Macaca mulatta: one gene and its partners. The protein of the gene in region 5 interacts with the protein of the main gene of each other region in a biochemical or structural test. Links are inferred from orthologs where the notes say so. Each region holds a gene or a part of one and is shown on either strand. Other genes may lie near its edges.

Region 1 (3,512 bases), on a different chromosome or scaffold from region 5:
GACCACGCCCTGGGAGAAGCATTCAGGCTGTTATTCTAGTCCAAAGCAATGAGAAATAAAGAAGAATAAAGAACAAAGGAAGTATTTAAGTGTATTCAGTTGTTATTAAAGATGAAGCAGAAAGCAAATTAAACCAATAGGACATAACCAAAAAGCCAAGAAAAGAAAAAGCAGTTCAAAAACACTAGCTTTGGGCACTTGGACATCTCCCTAAATACCTGCTTATTAAATCCTAGGACTCCACCCTTTTATTTCTAAATAAAATCACAAAAGTCTTCCAGAGAATCTGTAGTTCTCCATCACTGTTATTTTCTGTCCCACACCAAAATTAAACTCCTCTTTAAATATCTTAGGCACTCGTTCATTAAAAGCCTATTCAAATCTGATAATGGGAAGAGTTCAAATGTTAACATATTTTTCAGGAAATTTTAGTTCTCCACTTGAATGATATACCAACCAGACTATTCAGCCAGTCTAAAGATATTATGGATATAAAATAAACTGTAAAAGTCCAGAGACCTGAGAAAGTGTTGCAACATTCTTTGATCAGATTTGAAACCCAAAACTCTCTGAAATAAATATCACCCTCACCCCATTAATTGACTGACATTACCACCCCCAAGGGGCCCTATTACCTCAATCATCCTGCTGTCCACAGGCAGGGTGGTGCTGACCATGTGGACATTAGGTGTGGACGTCGACCTCTGCCTCTGGGAAAGGGAACCTTCAGATGAGGGACTGGAGGTGTTAAAGGTGAAGGCGTGAGGTGTAGAATACCTGTGCTGAGAACTAGGCAAGGAGGAGAAAGAAAATTCCATGATTGGCATTTAGGCTTTCATACTGGTGAAGTCTTTCAACTACCTACTTGATTAAGATGCTTAAGGGCAAACTCTACCTGTACAACCTTTGACACAATGTTTGATTCTTTCAAATATGTGACATCTAAAAATTATCTTAAGTCTGGGTGCTTTTGCATACAAAATTTGGAACAGGAAATAATATATGTATTGGGAATTCAATGAAAAAGAGAATGTATTGTAAGTTTTCTTTTTTTTAATAAAGCGCCACCCGAATACTCCAAATTTTCACATCTTCTCCGGGAAAGAATAGATTAACATTTGACAACCACACTACCACTTATTAAGCTAGTTGAAACGTGCCCAGTTTAATTTAGAGACTAAATTTGAGAACTTTAAGATTTTAAACAGATAAGTAGACGTGCTGAGCATGTCTGCAAAAAGGCCAGACGTTTTCATTATTTGTTCTAAAGATTAGTTTGAGGTTTGTTCAGATTCAGTTAACATCCATGTATGAATTAAAGGGATAAAAGGCCAGCTTTTCTAAGGGAAATTGTTCTATTGTCTTGAAAAAATGCCTTCCCACATAATTCTGTTTATGGCTTCAGAGGCCTGGTTTCTTCTAATCTTCAGAGGTAACTACAAACTCTTGGTCAGATCTGCTTTTCAAATTATCAAGAAAAATAAAAGTCATACACAAATATATATCCAGACATATGCAAATTCCTTATTCTGACATATGCTGCCTTTAATAATTTCCATAGTAGTTTCACATTAAACATTATCTGATTACACATTATGTGTGTGTGTGTGTGTGTGTGTGTGTGTGTGTATTTTTTGGAGACAGAGTCTTGCTCTGTCACCCAGGCTGGAGTGCAGTAGTGCCATCTCAGCTCACTGCCTACCAGGTTCAAGATTCTCCTGCTTCAGCCTCCCAAGTAGCTGGACCAAGAGGCGCATATCACCACATCCAGCCAGTTTTTTGTTATTTTTAGTAGAGATGGAGTTTCACCATGTTGGTTGGCCAGGCTAGTCTGGAACTCCTGACCTCAAGTGGTCCGCCCACCTCGGTCTCCCAAAGTGCTGGGATTACAGGCGTGAGCTACCATGCCTGGCCTAAAGTAAGATATTTTGGATGTAGATTTTACTTTAGGTTTCAAATTCATGTGTGTAACACTGAGCAATATGTGAACTGAACAAAACTGATTGTAAAGCTGGAAAACAGAGTAAAGACAAGTTATATGCAAACTCAGAGACACATTAGAAACAATATTTATGCTGAAAATATAACTAAATGTTTTTTAAAGACACTAGTCTATTTAAATACATGGTTTTAGCAAATGCAAGGCCATAACATGCATTTCAAAGTTAAGGGTTTTATTTTTATTGAATCACTGTATCAAGTTTTGGGACCCTTTCCATTGAGGTTGAACTCAGTACATACTGAGGAAAGTAGAATCTCAAGCTCTTTAAAATGTAATGACATATTAAGGAATATGCTACGATAACAGAAGAAACTATAGTCAAAGTCACTTTCCAGAATATAAGATCTACAGATCCATAAAGAGAAATTTCTACATTTTGCTGTACCACCAGTATCACATTCCACAGAAGCAGCAAGGGATTTCCACATAGAGAGGAGGGAATGTGAAGAAACTCTTATTTTTTGTCTTTGAGCTTCCAACCCCACCTCCCCCCCCCAATAACTTTCTAAAAGAAAAGCTATAGGTAAAAAAATTACCTAACAGGCATCCTGGAAACAGACTCTCGCATACGACGCATAGTCAAAGAAGGTAGTGCTGGGACTCCACTATCACCAATAGTGGAATTTGGAAACAATCTAAACAAAAGCAGGGAAAGACTGGTTTTTAGGCTTACAGTAATCTTACAGAGACAATCAGCGTGCCTTGCTTTTGCAAACTCAGAGCTACTAAAACTGAACTTTTCCCAGTCACATTTTCCTCAACTGTTTTACATTACCTAGAATAAAGGGAACAATTTCCAAATAACTGGGTTTGAATGATTATTGAATGTGAATAATACTGACCTGCCAATAAACATACGGGCTCCAGTGTGCTTTTTCTTTTTTATTTTCTTTTTTTTTGTTGAGATGGAGTCTCGCTCTGTTGCCCAGGTTGGAGTGCAGAGGAGCAATCTTGGCTTACTGCAGCCTCCGCCTCCTGGGTTCTCCTGCCTCAGCCTTCCAAGTAGCTGGGATTACAGGCACACACCACCACGCCCAGCTAATTTTTGTACTTTTAGTGGAGACAGGGTTTCACCATGTTGGCCAGTCTGGTCTCGAACTCCTGACCTCAGGTGATTCACCCGCCTCAGCCTCCCAAAGTGCTGGGATTACAGGCGTGAGCCACCACGCCCGGCCCAGTGTGCATTTCTAGGAAATACTGGTCCTATGTCTAGCTATATCAAAATAATGTTTTTCAAACTACAGTAGAACATTTTACAAACTATGTCACACAGAGCTTTTCTGGAAACATTCCATCTTGAAAATAGATAAAAAGACTAAAATAGGAGGAATAAATCACAGAAAAGTGAGTAATTAGGCACCTTCTTTCCATGAGCTGGGCACTTGTCAGCAAGCCTCATAAGAACAATGCAAGGAAGGTAATATCCCCTTTATTCAGACGCATGAACGAAAACTCAGTTGTGGTTATGGTTAATGACAATAGTGAGATTCTGACATACGTCTGTTAGACT
Region 2 (3,512 bases), on a different chromosome or scaffold from region 5:
TTGAGTCAGGGTTGTTGGGAATAATGTGGAACTATTCTTGTTTTCTTCATACCTGAATAAATCAGAACTAAAAAGAATTCCTTTACTGATGTATATATTCAAATATTCAGTTGTCCAAATACTCATTGGACCCAAATGTGACACATAATCTCCCCCAAATCTAGGAAATGATCAACCAGTGATTTGCCCAATCCAAGCTGATCCAGAGAGTGGACTCTGCTACAACACTACAGACCTGACTTGAGATGGAGAGATAGGAATGGAAGGGAGACACCCTCTTTGTCTCTCGGACCTGCACGTCCAGTGACACACCCCTGATCTCATGCCTTGTGAGATCCACAATTTGAGTGTGGTCGTTCAGTCTAGCCACCCCCAAGAGAAACCCTCTCCCTTTCCCTGGGAGAACCTTGACCTTAGAGGCTGGCACTGCACCAGTCGAGGCCGCCCTGGCCCCTCCACCGCCTGAGCCCTCGGTCGACCAAATGCTCTCACAGAGCTGCCGTTAGCCATGCCAGGGCATCAGCAGAGAGAAGGGTGCTGGTTTCTATCTGGGTTCAAAGCCTGGCTATGCCATTTGTTAGAAAAGTCTCTTATTCCCTGTGATTCTCAGCTTTTTCATCTTCAGACAGAAACAAATAAAATAACTTAGTAACATTGGTACAAAGAATTAGCTGGATGAGATAGCTCACAACTTTAATCCCAGAACTTTGGGAGGCTGAGGCAGGAGAATCACTGGAGCCCAGGAGTTCAAGACCAGCCTGGGAAGCATAGTAAGACCCCATCTCTACAAAAAATTTTAAAAATTAGCCAAGCATTATAATCCTAGGTAGTCAGGAGGCAGAGGCAGGAGGATCGCTCTTGAGCCCAACAGTTCAAGACTGCCGTGGGTCATGATTGCACTACTGCACTGCAGCCTGGGCAACAGAGCAAGACTCTAGCTCTTAAAGAAAAAAAAAAAGTTTGGTACGAAGATTAAAATAATGTATGTCAGACATTTGATAAGACGTCAACACTCAATCAAGGAGTGTGACAGTCATCATCACTGCTACATTTTATTACTTTTGTGGATGGGCGTGCTAGCTAAAACTGCAGAACCTCTAATATTTTCTAACTGCCTCCGCTGTTTTTCTCCTCGGCCCTTAGCACTCTCTCCTACACCATGTGATAAATTATATTCATTGCTGTCTATACTGTTCCACTAGATGGAAGCTTCGTGAAGTAGGAACTTTTAGTCTATTTTATGCACTGCTGTATCTCTAAGATGCCTGGCATGTAAATAGGTTCTCAATAAATATGTCTTGAATTAATGAAAACAGTGGTTTCTGAATCATGGCCTCCAAAGAGCGTTTGCCTTTTCCCCTCTCGCCCTTCTGAAGGTGCCCAGGCTGCCCTGGCAGGATACCTTTTTCTCTGTGGGGTGGCATTCTCTGCTCTCTTTCTAATACTCTTTCTTTTTCTTTCCTCCTCTACCCCAACTGCAGGACGCCTTTGTGGAACTGTACGGCCCCAGCATGCGGCCTCTGTTTGATTTCTCCTGGCTGTCTCTGAAGACTCTGCTCAGTTTGGCCCTGGTGGGAGCTTGCATCACCCTGGGTGCCTATCTGGGCCACAAGTGAAGTCAACACGCCTGCCCCAAACAAATATGCAAAAGGTTCACTAAAGCAGTAGAAATGATATGCATTGTCAATGATGTACCATGAAACAAAGCTGCAGGCTGTTTAAGAAAAAATAACACACATATAAACATACACACACACAGACAGACACACACACACACACACACACACCAATTTTCAGGCAAAATGTCGAATCAGCTATTTACTGCCAAAGGGAAATATCGTTTATTTTTTACATTATTAAGAAAAAAAGATTTATTTATTTAAGACAGTCCCATCAAAACTCCTGTCTTTGGAAATCCGACCACTAATTGCCAAGCACCGCTTCGTGCGGCTCCACCTGGATGTGCTGTGCCTGTAAACACAGATTCGCTTTCTGTGTTGTTGGCCAGACTAACTCACCATTTGAAGAGCAGATGTATGGAAAAAGGACCTGATCGTTGGGGAAGCTGGCTTTCTGGCTGCTGGAGGCTGGGAAGAAGGTGCTCATTCACTTGTATGTCTTTGCCCTGGGGGCTGTGATATTAACAGAGGGAGGGTTCCTGGGGGGAAGTCCATGCCTCCCTGGTCTGAAGAAGAGACTCTTTGCATATGACTCACATGACGCATTCCTGGTGGGAGGAAAAGATTTGGGAACTTCAGATGGACCTGGTACCCACTGAGATTTCCACACCGAAGGACAGCGATGGGAAAAATGCCCTTAAATCATAGGAAAGTATTTTTTTAAGCTACCAATTGTGCCGAGAAGCATTTTAGCAATTTATACAGTATCATCCAGTACCTTAAGCCCTGATTGTGTATATTCTTATATTTTGGATACGCACCCCCCAAATCCCAATACTGGCTCTGTCTGAGTAGGAACATAATCCTCTGGAACTTGAGGAAGTAAACATTTCGGTGACTTCAGCATCAGGAAGGCTAGAGTTACCCAGAGCATCAGGCCGCCACAAGTGCCTGCTTTTAGGAGACCGAAGTCCGCAGAACCTGCCTGCATCCCAGCTTGGAGGCCTGGTCCTGAAACTGAGCCTGGGCCCTCACTGGCCTCCTCCAGGGATGATCAACAGGGCAGTGTCGTCTCCGAATGTCTGGAAGCTGACGGAGCTCAGAATTCCACTGTCAAGAAAGAGCAATAGAGGGGTGCGGCTGGGCCTGTCGCCCTGGGGCCCTCCAGATAGGCCCATTTTCACGTGGAGCATGGGAGCCACAACCCTTCTTAAGACATGTATCACTGTAGAGAGAAGGAACAGAGGCCCTGGGCCCTTCCTAGCAGAGGGACACGGTGAAGGCTGGGAACGTGAGGAGAGGCAACGGCCATGGCCCATTTTGGCCATAGCACATGGCACGTTGGCTGTGTGGCTGTGGCCCACCTGTGCAGTTTAAAGCAAGGCTTTAAATGACTTTGGAGAGGGTCTTAAATCCTAAAGGAAGCATTGAAGTAAGGTGTCATGGATTAATTGACCTATGTCTATGGAATTACATGTAAAACATTATCTTGTCACTGTAGTTTGGTTTTATTTGAAAACCTGACAGAAAAAAGAAAAGTTCCAGGTGTGGAATATGGGGATTATCTGTACATCCTGGGGCACTTAAAAACAATCAATGGTGGGAAACTATAAAGAAGTAACAAAAGAAGTGACATCTTCAGCAAATAAACTAGAAAGTGTTTGTTGTGTTTTTTTCTTCCAGTTTAGAATCAGCCTTGAGACATTGATGGAATAACTCTGTGGCATTATTGCATTATATATCATTTATCTGTATTAACTTTCGAATGTACTCTGTTCAGTGTTTAATGCTGTGGTTGATATTTCGAAAGCTGCTTTAAAAAAATACATGCATCTCAGCGTTTATTTTTTTTTTTTAATTGTATTTAGTTATGGCCTATACACTATTTGTGAG
Region 3 (4,006 bases), about 68 Mb from region 5:
TTGGTGTGCATGTGAGTGCACCCTGGAATAGTGTAGCATTCTATACATGGTTGGTTCCTGCCTTGCACCTTGAGCTGCTGGGATAGGCTCTAGCCACTCTCAACCCTGAACTGGAAAAATTGGGTAAATAATGATCTTGTTTATTTTGAGACACTTATCTTACTTATTTATTCCACTCACTCTGTTTATTCCACTCACTCTGTTTCCTGGCCTGGAGTGCAGTGGCATGATCACAGCTCACTTCAACCTCGACCTCCTCAGCTTAAGTGATCTTCTGCCTTGGTCTCCCAAATTGCTGGGATTACAGGCATGAATCACTGTGCCCAGGCTTTTGTTTTTTGTTTTGTTTTTGAAACAAGGTCTCACTCTGTCGCCCAGACTGAAGTGCAAAGACGTGTGGTCATGGCTTACTGTAGCCTTGACCTCCCGGGCTTAAGTGATCCTCCCACCTTAGCCTCCTGGGTAGCTGGGACTACAGGTGTGTGCTGCCATGCCTGGCTAATGTTTTGTATTTGGGTTTTATTTTTCTGTAGAGATGGGGTTTTGTCATGTTACCTTGGCTGGTCTCAAACTCCTAGGCTCAAGCGATCTGCCCACTTTGGCCTCCCAAAGTGCTGGGATTACAGGCGTGAGCCAAGGCACCTGGTCTGGCCTCTTTTTATTAATCTTTCTTAAATGTATGTATAAGTCACATTGATGTCAATGTTTGATATTAGAGGTGTTTTGTTCTTTAGAAGTTTGGTGATGTCTTGTGACCAGAAATATGCCACAGGAACTTAACTCTTGTTTATATCAATTCACAATCCTATATCAGTTCACAGTAGTTCAAACTTCTCCGTTATAATTTCTTTGTCTTCCTCCCATCCCCGTCCCCTCTCCCACCTCCCACACAAAGAAAACATAATACACGTCTGGCTCTGCGATCACACAACGTCGGAGAGTTTTCAACTTCAGCCCTTGACAACGAGTTTATAGATGCGGTGGTGCTTCGTTAACCTGAAGAGGATCCTCAGCCACGGAAGTTAGCCGTCTTTCTCCATCCTGGCTACACCATTAGCCCTCCCAGAAATAGTCCCAAAATTGTCTGGTAGAAATGCTGCACGGAAACTGCCGGCCAAGGACAGCGGACCGAGAAGAGTGACGCGACGCGATGACGTCACGCAGCAGCCGGGTGATTCCCCAGCCTCTGGCGTCACGCGCCGATGACGCAATCCCAGGCGTTCGCCCTTCTGCAGGCCAGGGTTTGGCCTCGCTCCTACGGGTCGGTCAGGCGCTCCCCGCCCCCTCCCACCTGCGGGAGGCGGGGCGGGCACGGCTCCGCCGGAGCCACCGCCGCGCCGGGGAGGGGGAAAGGCCGGGGGGGAGGGAAGGGGGAAAGGGCGGGGGTAAGGGGGAAGAAGGAGGAGGAGGGGAGCCAGTGAACTAGGCGGTCAGGCCCGCCGAGCGGCGTACAATAGCGCAGTTGTAGGCGGGGGAGGCGGCCCTGCCGCGGCTGCAGCCGGAGCCGAAGGTGGCGGCTGCACAGTAGACGCCCCCTCACGGCTTCCCCCACACGCTCCCGCCCCCTCGTTCGCCTATTGCGCCTCCCTCGCAGGCTCCGCCGTCCTCCTCCATAGACGCTTTCCCCCTCGGACTCTTATTCCCTTTTTCACGGAGCCCCGCGCTCTCGTGAGCCCCCTCGAAGAACCTGGTCTCCGCATCCAGTTCCCATCTCCTGCCTCAGAGGCCATCCGAGCTCTTCGCACCTCGCCCCTCAGCCCCCCACCGTTGCCCCCGCCCCGCGTCGCCTCGCTCCCTGCCGCCCCCCCATCATCCCTTCCCTCGCAGTTCCCCTGTCCTGAGGGGATCCCCGGCACTGGCGGCGCGGCGGCGGCAGGAGGGAGAAAGTGAAGCGGTAGCTCGCACACACTCGCGCCCTCACTCCCGGCTCGGCGGCACCCACCATCGGGAGGAGGAGGAGGAGCCGAGAGGAGCTGAGCGAGCGCGGAAGGTGAGAGCGGGCCTCCCGCCCGGTACCCCTCGCGTCCCGGGCTGCCAGGGTTGGGGCGCGGGGGTGCGGACGGGTGGAGTAGGGGTCTGGGCCCATTTATCTCGCGTGGCGGGGCCGGGCGCTTGGGCCGGCGGAGGCTCCAGGTAAGGTGAGGCGGGCGTCGCCCAGCGAGGCCCGCTCCCGTCGGGCCAACAAAGGCCCCCCGTGCGCTCACCGGCGGGGTCGCGGGTCTCAGACGCCGGGCGATCGAGAGACCCGGGAGAGGGAAGGGGCGGGGCGGGGCCAGGCCAGGCTGGGGCCGGGAGCCCCCACGGGTACCGGTCCGGGACCGAGTCCCTTCCGAACTTTGCAGTCCTGCAGAGCTCACCCTGTCCCACTACGAGGAGGCACAGCAAAGCGGCGCCCCAGTTCCTTCTGCATGGAATAAATGACCCCTTCTAGGCTTGGACAGTCACCTTTAGGGTTTTACTCCCTGAAAAATAAGGGCTGGTAGGACTTGACTTACGCAGCCCCTCCCCCACCGCGGAATATTCTGTAACTTGGGAAGTGAAAAACAACCGGGAAAGGAGATTTATAGTTATTTTATGTTCATTAATCCATTTGAAAAGACATGATTGTTGTAGTCTTCGCTATCCTATTTCAACAATACACATTACTGGGAATGTTTTGGAAGAATACTTGAGAAGTAGTGGGTTGTGAGCAACGTCCTTGGTTTTTAAACCCCTTGGATAATTGTTCTACTCTTAACAAAAACTGAACAGTGAAGGGAAGGGTTAGTTCTGTGGTTACTAATAAAAATTCAATTCGTTAGTCTTGACTTTAAGAATTGTTCTTGAGAAAAATCTTTAATTTTGCCTCCTACATTTGTGGGTTCTCTTTCAACTCTGTCAGGAGAAAGTAGGAATTATCAGTACAGATACCTCATCTCTTACCTTGTGGCTTCATCTACTTCTTGTGTGACCTTGAGCAGGTCACTTCCAGCCTTAAAAGCTCCAGAAGTTTGGTTTTATGCCCCAAAACGGGCAGGTAGCAAGCACCAACTCAGCTTTCAAGAGTCCACTGAAGAATTCCCACACTGTGAAATCTTTGCTGGCCTCCATCCTGTCCCTCCTCTCAGACAGAACTGACTTTTTCCCATTGGCCCGGTGAGATTTCTACCACAGCACTTACAACATTTTGGTTCCTATTTGGAAAATTCTAAATCACGTGCGTAGAACCCCCCCCCCCCCAACTAGCAACTATGCCTTTCAAAAAGGGTTTTGGGAACATTGACGCTGAAAACTTCCCATACTTTCCCTGAAGTTTATCCATACGCTTAACTACATGAACTCATGTGTCTGCCTTGGTGAATTTGCTAATTCAGTCAATTCATTTATCCAACATTACTGGAGTTTGGAGAGCTACTATGTTTCAGGCCTCTTGCTAAGGCTATGGGGATTCAGTCTATTAAGATATTCCCTGTCTTCAAAGAGCTCAAAGTCTAATGGGTGAGGTAGACAAGTAAACAATGAAGGTCTGCCCTAATCTCTGGGGGACTCCAGTTGTACAGGTAGTAGTGTGCAATAATTGAGGCTGCTGGACCTGTTTTACAAGTCTTCTCTTGGCCAAAGTGAGTCCTGCAGGGAAGGTGACCTGCCTCATCCATAAGAGGGCATTTGGTAAAAAGCTTGTTCAGTTCAATTCAATATACATTTACTAAGCGCATGTTTTGAGTCCCTGTGCTAGGTTTGAAGGAAGCAGTGCCTCAAAGGAAGGTACTGTGCATCCAGAAAGATTTCCGTGAAACAAAACCTTACCACATCAATGCCCCCTACCCCTGACTCTTCATATTCTGAAGATAAATTTCAGACTAACATGGAATAAGAAACTCTCAGGCATCAGACCACTGCCTGCCTTTGCAGCCTCACTTTCTGTGGCTCCCCTGCCACTCTCATCTTCGCTTTTGCATGTTCTGTTTTCTTCCTGGATGCTTCCCTTCCACCCTTTACCTGCCTGTGGAGGTGTCCTTGTTGGGCC
Region 4 (4,035 bases), on a different chromosome or scaffold from region 5:
TTTTGTATTTTTAGTAGAGATGCGGTTTTGCCATGTTGGTCAGGCTGGTCTCAAACTCCTGGCCTCAAGTGATCCACCCGCCTTGGCCTCCGAAAGTGTTGGGATTACAGGTGTGAGCCACCAAACCCAGCTAGTTGTTACTATTATTGCTGCAGAAAAGACCTTACTTCTCAAGTGACCATAAGGGCAGATGGTAATACAGAGGCTTGGTTTGGAGGTAGAAGCAAAGGGTACTAGCAGAAGAGGAGAACTGGGTCGCCTCTTTCTGGCCTTTGGTTGGGTTGCTTTTTAAATGGAGCTGAAGAAAGTGCCAGATCCAAGAGCCCAGGGGGCTGGCTGTGAGTGCTCTCATGTGGATCAGCTGTGGTCAGATTGCTTCACACCTGTGACCCGCCCTGTATAAATATACTGCCATGTATAAATAATGGCCCCATGTATATGTAATCTGGAAGGATAAACATCAAGCTTAACAATGGCAACCTGCAGGGAGGGAAGTGGAATTGGGTGTGTATGTGTGTGTGTGTTTGAGAACCTGTATTTTATTACTCCATACCTCTTTATTGTTTGATTTTTTTCACAATGAGAATTAGTTCCTGTGTTGGGTAAAAAAAAAAGAAAAGAAAGAAAGAAAAAAAACCACTAAAATCAATCTGATTACAAAAGAAGATGAATTAAAGAAAAGTACCGGAAGAAACTGCTTGTGATCCAAGTCCTGGCTCCTTGATGCCTGGCTGAAGCCCAGCCCACAAAGACAACACTGGGTTAAAGGTCCTGGAGAAAAGATGGGAAAGGTTTGGTGTCTGTGTAGTGTCTGCTAGTCCCAAAAGGGTAAGGCACCTAGTAGACGGTTCCCAGCTTAATGGGAACTGCTCCTGTTTTCCAGGCACACAATTCAGGGCTGGAAAAGTTCAACAAGTGCATGGAACATCGGAAACCTCCTGGAAATGCTAAATTTGCCCCAAGATGTCCTGAAGTCCGGCATATTTCTCTGGGCAGCCTCGAGGCTCAGGAGCCCAGCCCAGCCCAGCCCACCGTGCCCTCTCAGGCAGCCCTTCACTGCCTTCAGCAGCCCTCCCTCTTCCTGAGTAGTGGCCCTTCGCAGGCCTGCGTCCCAGCCCCGCCCCTCTCTCTGGACGCATCTTTGGGCCCCATCATCACCCGGCGCCGGGCCCTCCCTCTGCCCCCCCTTTCTCCTCCCTCCTTCCTTCCCTCCCTTCCTCCCTCTCTCCCTCCCTCCCAGCTCCTGCACCAGGAAACGGCCCGGATCCCGGCAGCGGCCTGACCCGTGAGATCCCTAACCTGGCAGGCGGGCGGGGTTGGAGACTGGCTGAGGTGGGGGTAAGGGAGGAGTTGGGCCTTTGGGCTGCACTAGGGGGAACCGCGAATACAGATGGTGTCGGCAGGAAGCCCTTGGCCCTGGGTTTCCCGGGAGGACAGTCATTAAACATGGATTCGGCCACACAGCTGGTAGAGCGTTGGGGGCAGGGGCCCAGGCCCAGAGCTGCAACCCTAGCCGTTCCCAGGCCAGAACCTGATCCCTGGCCTTCCCCTCCTGGTTCTGATCTCCCCCTCCCCTTTCCAGAGCTCCACGCTGGCCGGGAGGATGAAAGGCCCCAGCTGGGGGCTCCTTGCCACCAGTGCTGTGTCTTAAGAGCTGCCATCCCGGCTGGGTGAGTGTCTCCTTCCTTTCTCTGTCTGGAGTAAACCATTGCGTCTCCCACCTTTCTCTTCGGCCCATCTGCTCCCCCTCATCTTGTGCCTCTGCCAACATCTTTATATCTTGCATTTGGGGAGGTCCTAAGCCCCTTCCTCTAGCCAAGGAGGTGTGGACTAAGGAGGCCCAGGGGTGGGAGGGTTGTAGGGGTGTCACAGAGCTGACGTTGTCTTATTATGAAAAGAATCTAAAGTATCTCTAAACAGAAAATGTACTTGTTTTAAATGTAATTTGGCATATTAGGAATGTAATGGCCAGCCCCTCACAGCCTGGTCTCATATCATGACTTAATTCCCTTGTTCTTGCCTCTCCCTGTCCAGTGAGCTCTGAGCATTTCTTCTCTCCTCCTCATCTCACTGGGTTGGTCAAACCAGAAATGCCCCTTCTGATTCTCTCTCCATATATTCATGCCAGTGTTTCATCCTTGCCTCTTATAGCTGCCCGGATGGCGACCCCAGCCTCGGCCCCAGACACACGGGCTCTGGTGGCAGACTTTGTAGGTTATAAGCTGAGGCAGAAGGGTTATGTCTGTGGAGCTGGCCCCGGGGAGGGCCCAGCAGCTGACCCGCTGCACCAAGCCATGCGGGCAGCTGGAGATGAGTTCGAGACCCGCTTCCGGCGCACCTTCTCTGATCTGGCGGCTCAGCTGCATGTGACCCCAGGCTCAGCACAGCAACGCTTCACCCAGGTCTCCGATGAACTTTTCCAAGGGGGCCCCAACTGGGGCCGCCTTGTAGCCTTCTTTGTCTTTGGGGCTGCACTGTGTGCTGAGAGTGTCAACAAGGAGATGGAACCACTGGTGGGACAAGTGCAGGAGTGGATGGTGGCCTACCTGGAGACGCGGCTGGCTGACTGGATCCACAGCAGTGGGGGCTGGGTAAGAAGCTTCTCAATTGCCGCTCTGCACATCCCTCTGCAAAGCTGGTTTCCAGGGGGAAGATGGGAGCTCTGATTGGAGACTGAGGCAGCTATGTTGGGAATGAGGTGCGGGGCTGAGTCTCCCCGTCTGGGTGGAATCAGATTGAGAGATGCCTGGACTCTGCACTCCAGGGCTGCCATGCAGTCAACACTGGATGGGCTCATGGTCCCAAGCAGAGGACAGAATCCACACCCAAGGAGTGCCTGCAGGGGAATGTTGTCAGGGACTTTTTGCACCTGAGTCATGGTGTGGGAGGTGGGGAGGACCAGGGATGGGTGGTGGTCAGGCAAGCCTTGGCAAAGGATGCTAGTTCTGAGCAGAATTTTTCGCCAAGGAAAGGATGGAATTCACTGGAGGCAGAGTGGGCGGCAAATGAACCAGTCTCTCAGGGTGGGGGTGCACCTGGGGGGATCAGAGGGGCTTGCAGCCAGAAGAGCTTTGACCAGAGAGGAGCTGGGTATGGGGTAGTGTTGGCAGTGGATGGAACTGGAACTCTTCCTCTCCTCTTCTGTCCACTCTTTCCTCTCCTGATATCCCTTTCTCCTTCTTTCTCTCCTACTTCCCTTCTCTCCCACAGGCGGAGTTCACAGCTCTATACGGGGACGGGGCCCTGGAGGAGGCGCGGCGTCTGCGGGAGGGGAACTGGGCATCAGTGAGGACAGTGCTGACGGGGGCCGTGGCACTGGGGGCCCTGGTAACTGTAGGGGCCTTTTTTGCTAGCAAGTGAAAGTCCAGGGCCAGGTGGGGCTAGGTGTGGCTGGGGGCCAGGAGAGCAGGAACAGAACAGAGAAATGCCCTTGGAAGAAATGGAGTTGGTGGATGGGTGGGCATGGAACAGGATGGGCAGGGGAAGGGTAGTGTGTGAGGCAGCTGAGTAGGCCAGGTAGGCGATTGGAAGAGTGAGCAGGACACATAGGTGAGGGAAATGTTTTGGCAAGTTTAGGGACGCAGGAGATGGAGTCGATCCAGGGCTGGGGGATGTGGGAGGGATCACACCTATAGGTGTGGGCACATGAAATGACCTGGAACTTGGTTTGCAGCCCTGAGGAAGGTGGACTTGCATAAGCAGTTGTATTCCATTAGATGAGTGGGATTTGGGGAACGCAGAAGGCACATCCTTTTGGAATGGAAGCTTGGGGGTTCTCAGGTGATAGGGAGAGGTGGCTGTAACAGTGGGCTGCTTGGACACACGTGTGCATGTGCACGCATGCTGGTGTGCATGCTGGGCTGCCTGGCAAATCTGGTGGTGGTGGGATTCCTCAAGGAGAAAACATTCCCTCTTGCAATGGCAAGAACTAGGGGCAGTTCTCTGTCCCTCCTCCCAACCCCTCCTTTCCCCTGCCCTTGTCCTGATGCCTCAAGGCTTAGAGAGAAACATTGTATCCAGACCGAGGGCTCTGCT
Region 5 (4,238 bases):
TCAGGGCAGCGGCCGCTGCAGGGGGCGCCCAATGCCCCGCTCTCCCCCTCCCCAAGCTGGGGGAGGCTCTCCTCCAGTAATGCGGATGGGGAGGGCCTCTGCCTTCTGTCCTTGTAATTCTCGAAAGCTGCCCCCCGCCCCACCCCCCCCACCGCGTCCACTCTCCAGCCTCAAGGGGCGGGAGGAGGCGGATGCCAGGTCCTCAGGCCGCTGATGGGAGAGCCGGCTCAGGTCGTGGGGACCCGGGGCTCCGGCTCCCCGGCTCCCGCTGCTCCGCCCCCTCCTGCGCCTGCGCGGGCGCTGTTCGCTACGCAAATTGCGCAGGGGCCCGACCGGCTCCGCAGTCCAGCGCCGCACCCGGCGTGAAACCGTACGAGAATTGGCGCGAGCTGCGCCGCTGGCGGGCGCCCGGGGTTACGGGAGGCGGCTGGAGGGCGGCCGAATTGCGGGGGCCGTGCCGCATCCAGGGGGTCCCCGGGTGGGCTGTGCCTGGGCGGTCCGCCTTAACTTGTATGGGGGGCCGGCAATTCCCACGCTCCTCTCTCCTATACCCAAATCGGGGTCGTACCACCCAGCCGGGGGCGGCAACGGATTCCCGTCCCTCGGCCTCTGAAGAAAACTTCCGCCCATAGCCAAGATGGCCCCCGGGCCCCGCCCCCGGGCCTGAACCCGCGGAGCCCCGAATCCCCAGCGCGGGCCCGCCCCCCGCCCCGGCGCGCCCGCGGCCCTGCTCACCTGGCCGGCCGCCTGCCAGGCCTGAAGCCCCCACGGACCCTACGGTCCACCCTCACCGGGTCCCCGGCCCTCCTCCCGCGCCCGGGCAGCCATCCCAGCCAGGGAGGAGGTTCCTCTCCTTATCTCCAGTGCCCCCGAGGTGGCGCGGGAGGTGTCCCCCGAGGCGGGCGGCGCGAAGCTTCCACGCCTGGGAGGAGGAGCGGGGAGCGGGACTTTCCGACCGGGCACCCAGTCCAGGCGGAGCGGTAACAATAGCAACAATAATCGCATCCGACGGCTGAGCTTCAGTTGTGGCTGTGCCAAGCGCCTTCGCCCGCAGTAATCACTCCCTTCACAAAGTTTTCACTGGCTCCTGGGGGAGCTGTCACTATCCCCACTTCACTGGGGGGAAACTAAGGTCCAGAGGGGCTGAAGGACTTGTTGGCAGAAGTGGGTCTCCAGGTTCCAAATGGGGACCCCAGAGAATCCCTCTCCTGCTCCCACACACGTCCAAGGTGTGAGGCAGCGAGGATGTGAGCACCAGGGCTGCAGGAGGGAGAAAAAAGGCTGCGGGCGAGTAGCCGTAGGTCCGGCGGGGGGGCGGGGCCGGGCCGGGTTGACCCCGCCTCTGGACCTACCCGAGTGACGTTCCGAGAGGTGATTGGGCCAGGTCGCTGACAGTTCCCGTTGCCCAAGCAACTAGGGCCGGGAGCCCGGGGTGCAGGAGGGAGGCGGCAGGCCCGGGTCAGGGGCCTCGAGATCGGGCTTGGGGTGAGACCTGTGCGCCGTCACCACGGGCGGGGCGGGGCCTGGGTAGGGGCCTGGGTCCACCAGGGTTCTGAGGGGAGATTGAGGCCCTGAGCCGACAGCATCAGCTCCCTGCCAGGCCAGACCCAGCAGACAAATGAGGGCCCGGGAGGCCTGGCGGGCCTGGGGGCCCTAGGGTGGGAGAGGGAGCCAAGGGTACCTACCTCTGCCTTCCAGGGCCACCGTTGGCCCCAGCTGTGCCTTGACTACCTAACATCTTGTCCTCATAGCCCAGAGCATGTTCCAGATCCCAGAGTTTGAGCCTAGTGAGCAGGAAGACTCCAGCTCTGCAGAGAGGGGCCTGGGCCCCAGCCCCGCGGGGGACAGGCCCTCAGACTCCGGCAAGCATCATCGCCAGGCCCCAGGCCTCCTGTGGGACGCCAGTCACCAGCAGGAGCAGCCAACCAGCAGCAGCCATCATGGAGGTAAGTACCCCACCACCTCCACCTGCCGGGTCACCTCACCCCCAGCCCACTGGCTCCCTGCATCCCAGTTGTATCCACGGGCACTGAAGGCTTTGGGTCGGTCCCTAACCTCTCAGAGCCCCAGTTTCCTCTTTTGTAAAACAGAGCAATTAATAACCACCATTGTAGGACTGTTGAGTTAATTAGCAGGAACATATAGGATGCACTTGATTACAGAGCTGGTGCACATTAAAGCTAAAAAATGGTAGCTGCCAGGCATGACGGATCACACCTGTAATCCCAGCACTTTGGGAGGCCAAGGCAGGAGGATCGCTTGAGCCCAGAAGTTCAAAGCCAGCCTGGGTGACTTAGGGAGACTCCATCTCTTAAAATATGTATATATATATATGGCAGCTATTAGTGTGGGGCCAGGACAGAAATTAGTGACAGGCAGGCAGGCAGTGATCCGAAAAGGAAAAGGGGCCTACCTAAGGCCATACCTGCCTGGCATTTCTTTCCTTAGAAGGTGGGGGCTGGAAGACTCCTTGGTGCCCTGCCCCAGGCTACATGCTTTCCCTGGGATTGGGCCTTCCAGCTCCCAGATGTGTTCTTTCTTGCCCCGAGGCTTGCGCCCACAGCAGGCCTGTCCTGGCACAAAGGCCAGGGGCAGGTGACCTCAAGGGGCAGACGGTCCTCCCAGACAGCAGGGCTGTGTGGGGTGGGAAGCACAGGCTCCAAGATGGAAGGATAGACACTGGGGTTCAGTGTCCATTTCTCAGTAGGCTCCACCACCCCTGTGCCCAGCACTGGCCTTGGCACCTGGAACAACAACATATATCTTCTGAACACAAAAACCAGGTCAAGCCAGGTGGGGTGGCCCATGTCTGTAGTCCCAGCAGCTCAGGAGGCTGGCTTGAGCCCAGGAATTCAAGACCAACCTGGGCAACATAGCCAGACCCCATCTCTAAAAATAGAAAACTAGGTCATGTCACTCTGGCACTGAAGCTTAAACGACCTCCTTCCCATTTTCAGGATTAAGAAGGCTTAAGAGGCCTCCCCTCCCTCTCTTACGCACAAACACACACACTCAATTCTCTCAGATTGGATCCCATAGCTTGCTTTCTTTTTTTGTTGTTGTTGTTTTGTTTGTTTTGAGACAGGGTCTCGCTCTATCACCTAGGAGGGAGTACAGAGGTGTGGAGTACAGAGGTGTGACCTCAGCTCACTGCAGCCTAGAACTTCTGGGCTTAAGCGATCCTCCCACCTTACCCTCCCAAGTAACTGGGAATACAGGTGTGTGGACTACACCTAGTTAATTTATTTTTAACTTTTTCTTTTTTTTTTTTTTCTGAGACAGAGTCTCACTCTGCCACCCAGGCTGGAGTGCAGTGGTGCAATCTCAGCTCACTGCAACCTCCGCCTCCTGGGTTCCAGCAATTCTCCTGCCTCAGTCTTTCAGGTAGCTGGGACTACAGGCATGTGTCACCATGCCCGGCTAATTTTTTGTATTTTTAGTAGACATAGGGTTTCACCATGTTAGCCAGGGTGGTCTCTATCTCCTGACCTTGTGATCCGCCCGCCTCGGCCTCCCAAGGTGTTGGAATTACAGGCGTGAGCCACCACGCCCGACATTTTTCATGTTTTCATTAGAGACGAGGGCAGGGGCGGGTCTCCTTTTGTTGCCCAGGCAGGTCTCAAACTCCTGGGCTCAAACAATCCTCCTGCCTCAGCCTCCAGAACAGCTGGGACCACAGGTACATGCTGCCACACCAGCTCATTTTTTATTTTTTGTAGAGGTGGGGTCTTGCTTTGTTGCCCAGCCTGGTCTCGAATTCCTGGGCCCAAGCGATCCTCTCATCTTGGCCTCCCAGAGTGTTGGGATTACTGGCGTGAGCCACCATGCTCGGCCTCCACAGCTTTCTTTAACTTTCTGAGCTTGCACTTGGCTGTTTTTCTGCTCACAAACTCCCCCTGCTTTCTGCCCCCCGCCACACACACTCAGCATTGACTTGTGTCTCAGAGTGAGTGTTCACCATGTGACACAGGTTGTTCCAGTTGCTAGGGGGACCTCGGTGAACCCAAGCATCAGGAATCCTTGCCCTCGTGGAGCTTACGTTCTAGTGACGTGGTGGGTCCATAAGCAAACAAGCACAAAAGTGCATCCTATCATGGATGAGAAGATTTGTATGGGGGCAGCATGTAAGAGTTAAAAGAAGCTGGGCACGGAGGCTTACACCTGTAATTTCAACACTTTGGGAGGCTGAGGCAAGCGGATCACAAGGTCAAGACATGGAGACCAGCCTGGCCAACATG

What was found.
Region 1: of the proteins of BAD (region 5) and RAF1, one has a biochemical effect on the other in vitro, tested with the Homo sapiens proteins (2 studies listed by BioGRID). The link is inferred for Macaca mulatta from reciprocal best matches to the Homo sapiens genes BAD and RAF1.
Region 2: the proteins of BAD (region 5) and BCL2 form a complex in vitro, tested with the Homo sapiens proteins (5 studies listed by BioGRID and IntAct, with this or other methods). The link is inferred for Macaca mulatta from reciprocal best matches to the Homo sapiens genes BAD and BCL2.
Region 3: of the proteins of BAD (region 5) and PAK1, one has a biochemical effect on the other in vitro, tested with the Homo sapiens proteins (3 studies listed by BioGRID). The link is inferred for Macaca mulatta from reciprocal best matches to the Homo sapiens genes BAD and PAK1.
Region 4: the proteins of BAD (region 5) and BCL2L2 interact in a biophysical measurement, tested with the Homo sapiens proteins (4 studies listed by BioGRID and IntAct, with this or other methods). The link is inferred for Macaca mulatta from reciprocal best matches to the Homo sapiens genes BAD and BCL2L2.

Annotation. Positions count from the first base shown.
Region 1 is NC_133407.1:151,425,523-151,429,034, forward strand, and holds part of RAF1 (RAF proto-oncogene serine/threonine-protein kinase), read right to left. Parts: intron 2,638-3,512; coding exon 2,539-2,637; intron 790-2,538; coding exon 636-789; coding exon of another isoform or gene 617-635; intron 36-616; coding exon of another isoform or gene 1-35. UniProt on the Homo sapiens protein: Serine/threonine-protein kinase that acts as a regulatory link between the membrane-associated Ras GTPases and the MAPK/ERK cascade, and this critical regulatory link functions as a switch determining cell fate decisions including proliferation, differentiation, apoptosis, survival and oncogenic transformation.
Region 2 is NC_133423.1:17,764,144-17,767,655, forward strand, and holds part of BCL2 (apoptosis regulator Bcl-2), read left to right. Parts: intron 1-1,481; coding exon 1,482-1,616; 3' UTR 1,617-3,512. UniProt on the Homo sapiens protein: Suppresses apoptosis in a variety of cell systems including factor-dependent lymphohematopoietic and neural cells. Regulates cell death by controlling the mitochondrial membrane permeability. Appears to function in a feedback loop system with caspases.
Region 3 is NC_133419.1:77,888,562-77,892,567, reverse strand, and holds the start of PAK1 (serine/threonine-protein kinase PAK 1), read left to right. Parts: upstream 1-1,204; 5' UTR 1,205-1,261; intron 1,262-1,329; exon of another isoform or gene 1,330-1,827; 5' UTR 1,828-1,990; exon of another isoform or gene 1,991-2,133; intron 2,134-4,006. UniProt on the Homo sapiens protein: Protein kinase involved in intracellular signaling pathways downstream of integrins and receptor-type kinases that plays an important role in cytoskeleton dynamics, in cell adhesion, migration, proliferation, apoptosis, mitosis, and in vesicle-mediated transport processes.
Region 4 is NC_133412.1:96,406,135-96,410,169, forward strand, and holds the start of BCL2L2 (bcl-2-like protein 2), read left to right. Parts: upstream 1-1,233; 5' UTR 1,234-1,467; intron 1,468-1,582; 5' UTR 1,583-1,670; intron 1,671-2,151; 5' UTR 2,152-2,159; coding exon 2,160-2,591; intron 2,592-3,210; coding exon 3,211-3,360; 3' UTR 3,361-4,035. UniProt on the Homo sapiens protein: Promotes cell survival. Blocks dexamethasone-induced apoptosis. Mediates survival of postmitotic Sertoli cells by suppressing death-promoting activity of BAX.
Region 5 is NC_133419.1:10,113,547-10,117,784, forward strand, and holds the start of BAD (bcl2-associated agonist of cell death), read left to right. Parts: upstream 1-1,427; 5' UTR 1,428-1,485; intron 1,486-1,751; 5' UTR 1,752-1,759; coding exon 1,760-1,946; coding exon of another isoform or gene 1,947-1,950; intron 1,951-4,238. UniProt on the Homo sapiens protein: Promotes cell death. Successfully competes for the binding to Bcl-X(L), Bcl-2 and Bcl-W, thereby affecting the level of heterodimerization of these proteins with BAX. Can reverse the death repressor activity of Bcl-X(L), but not that of Bcl-2.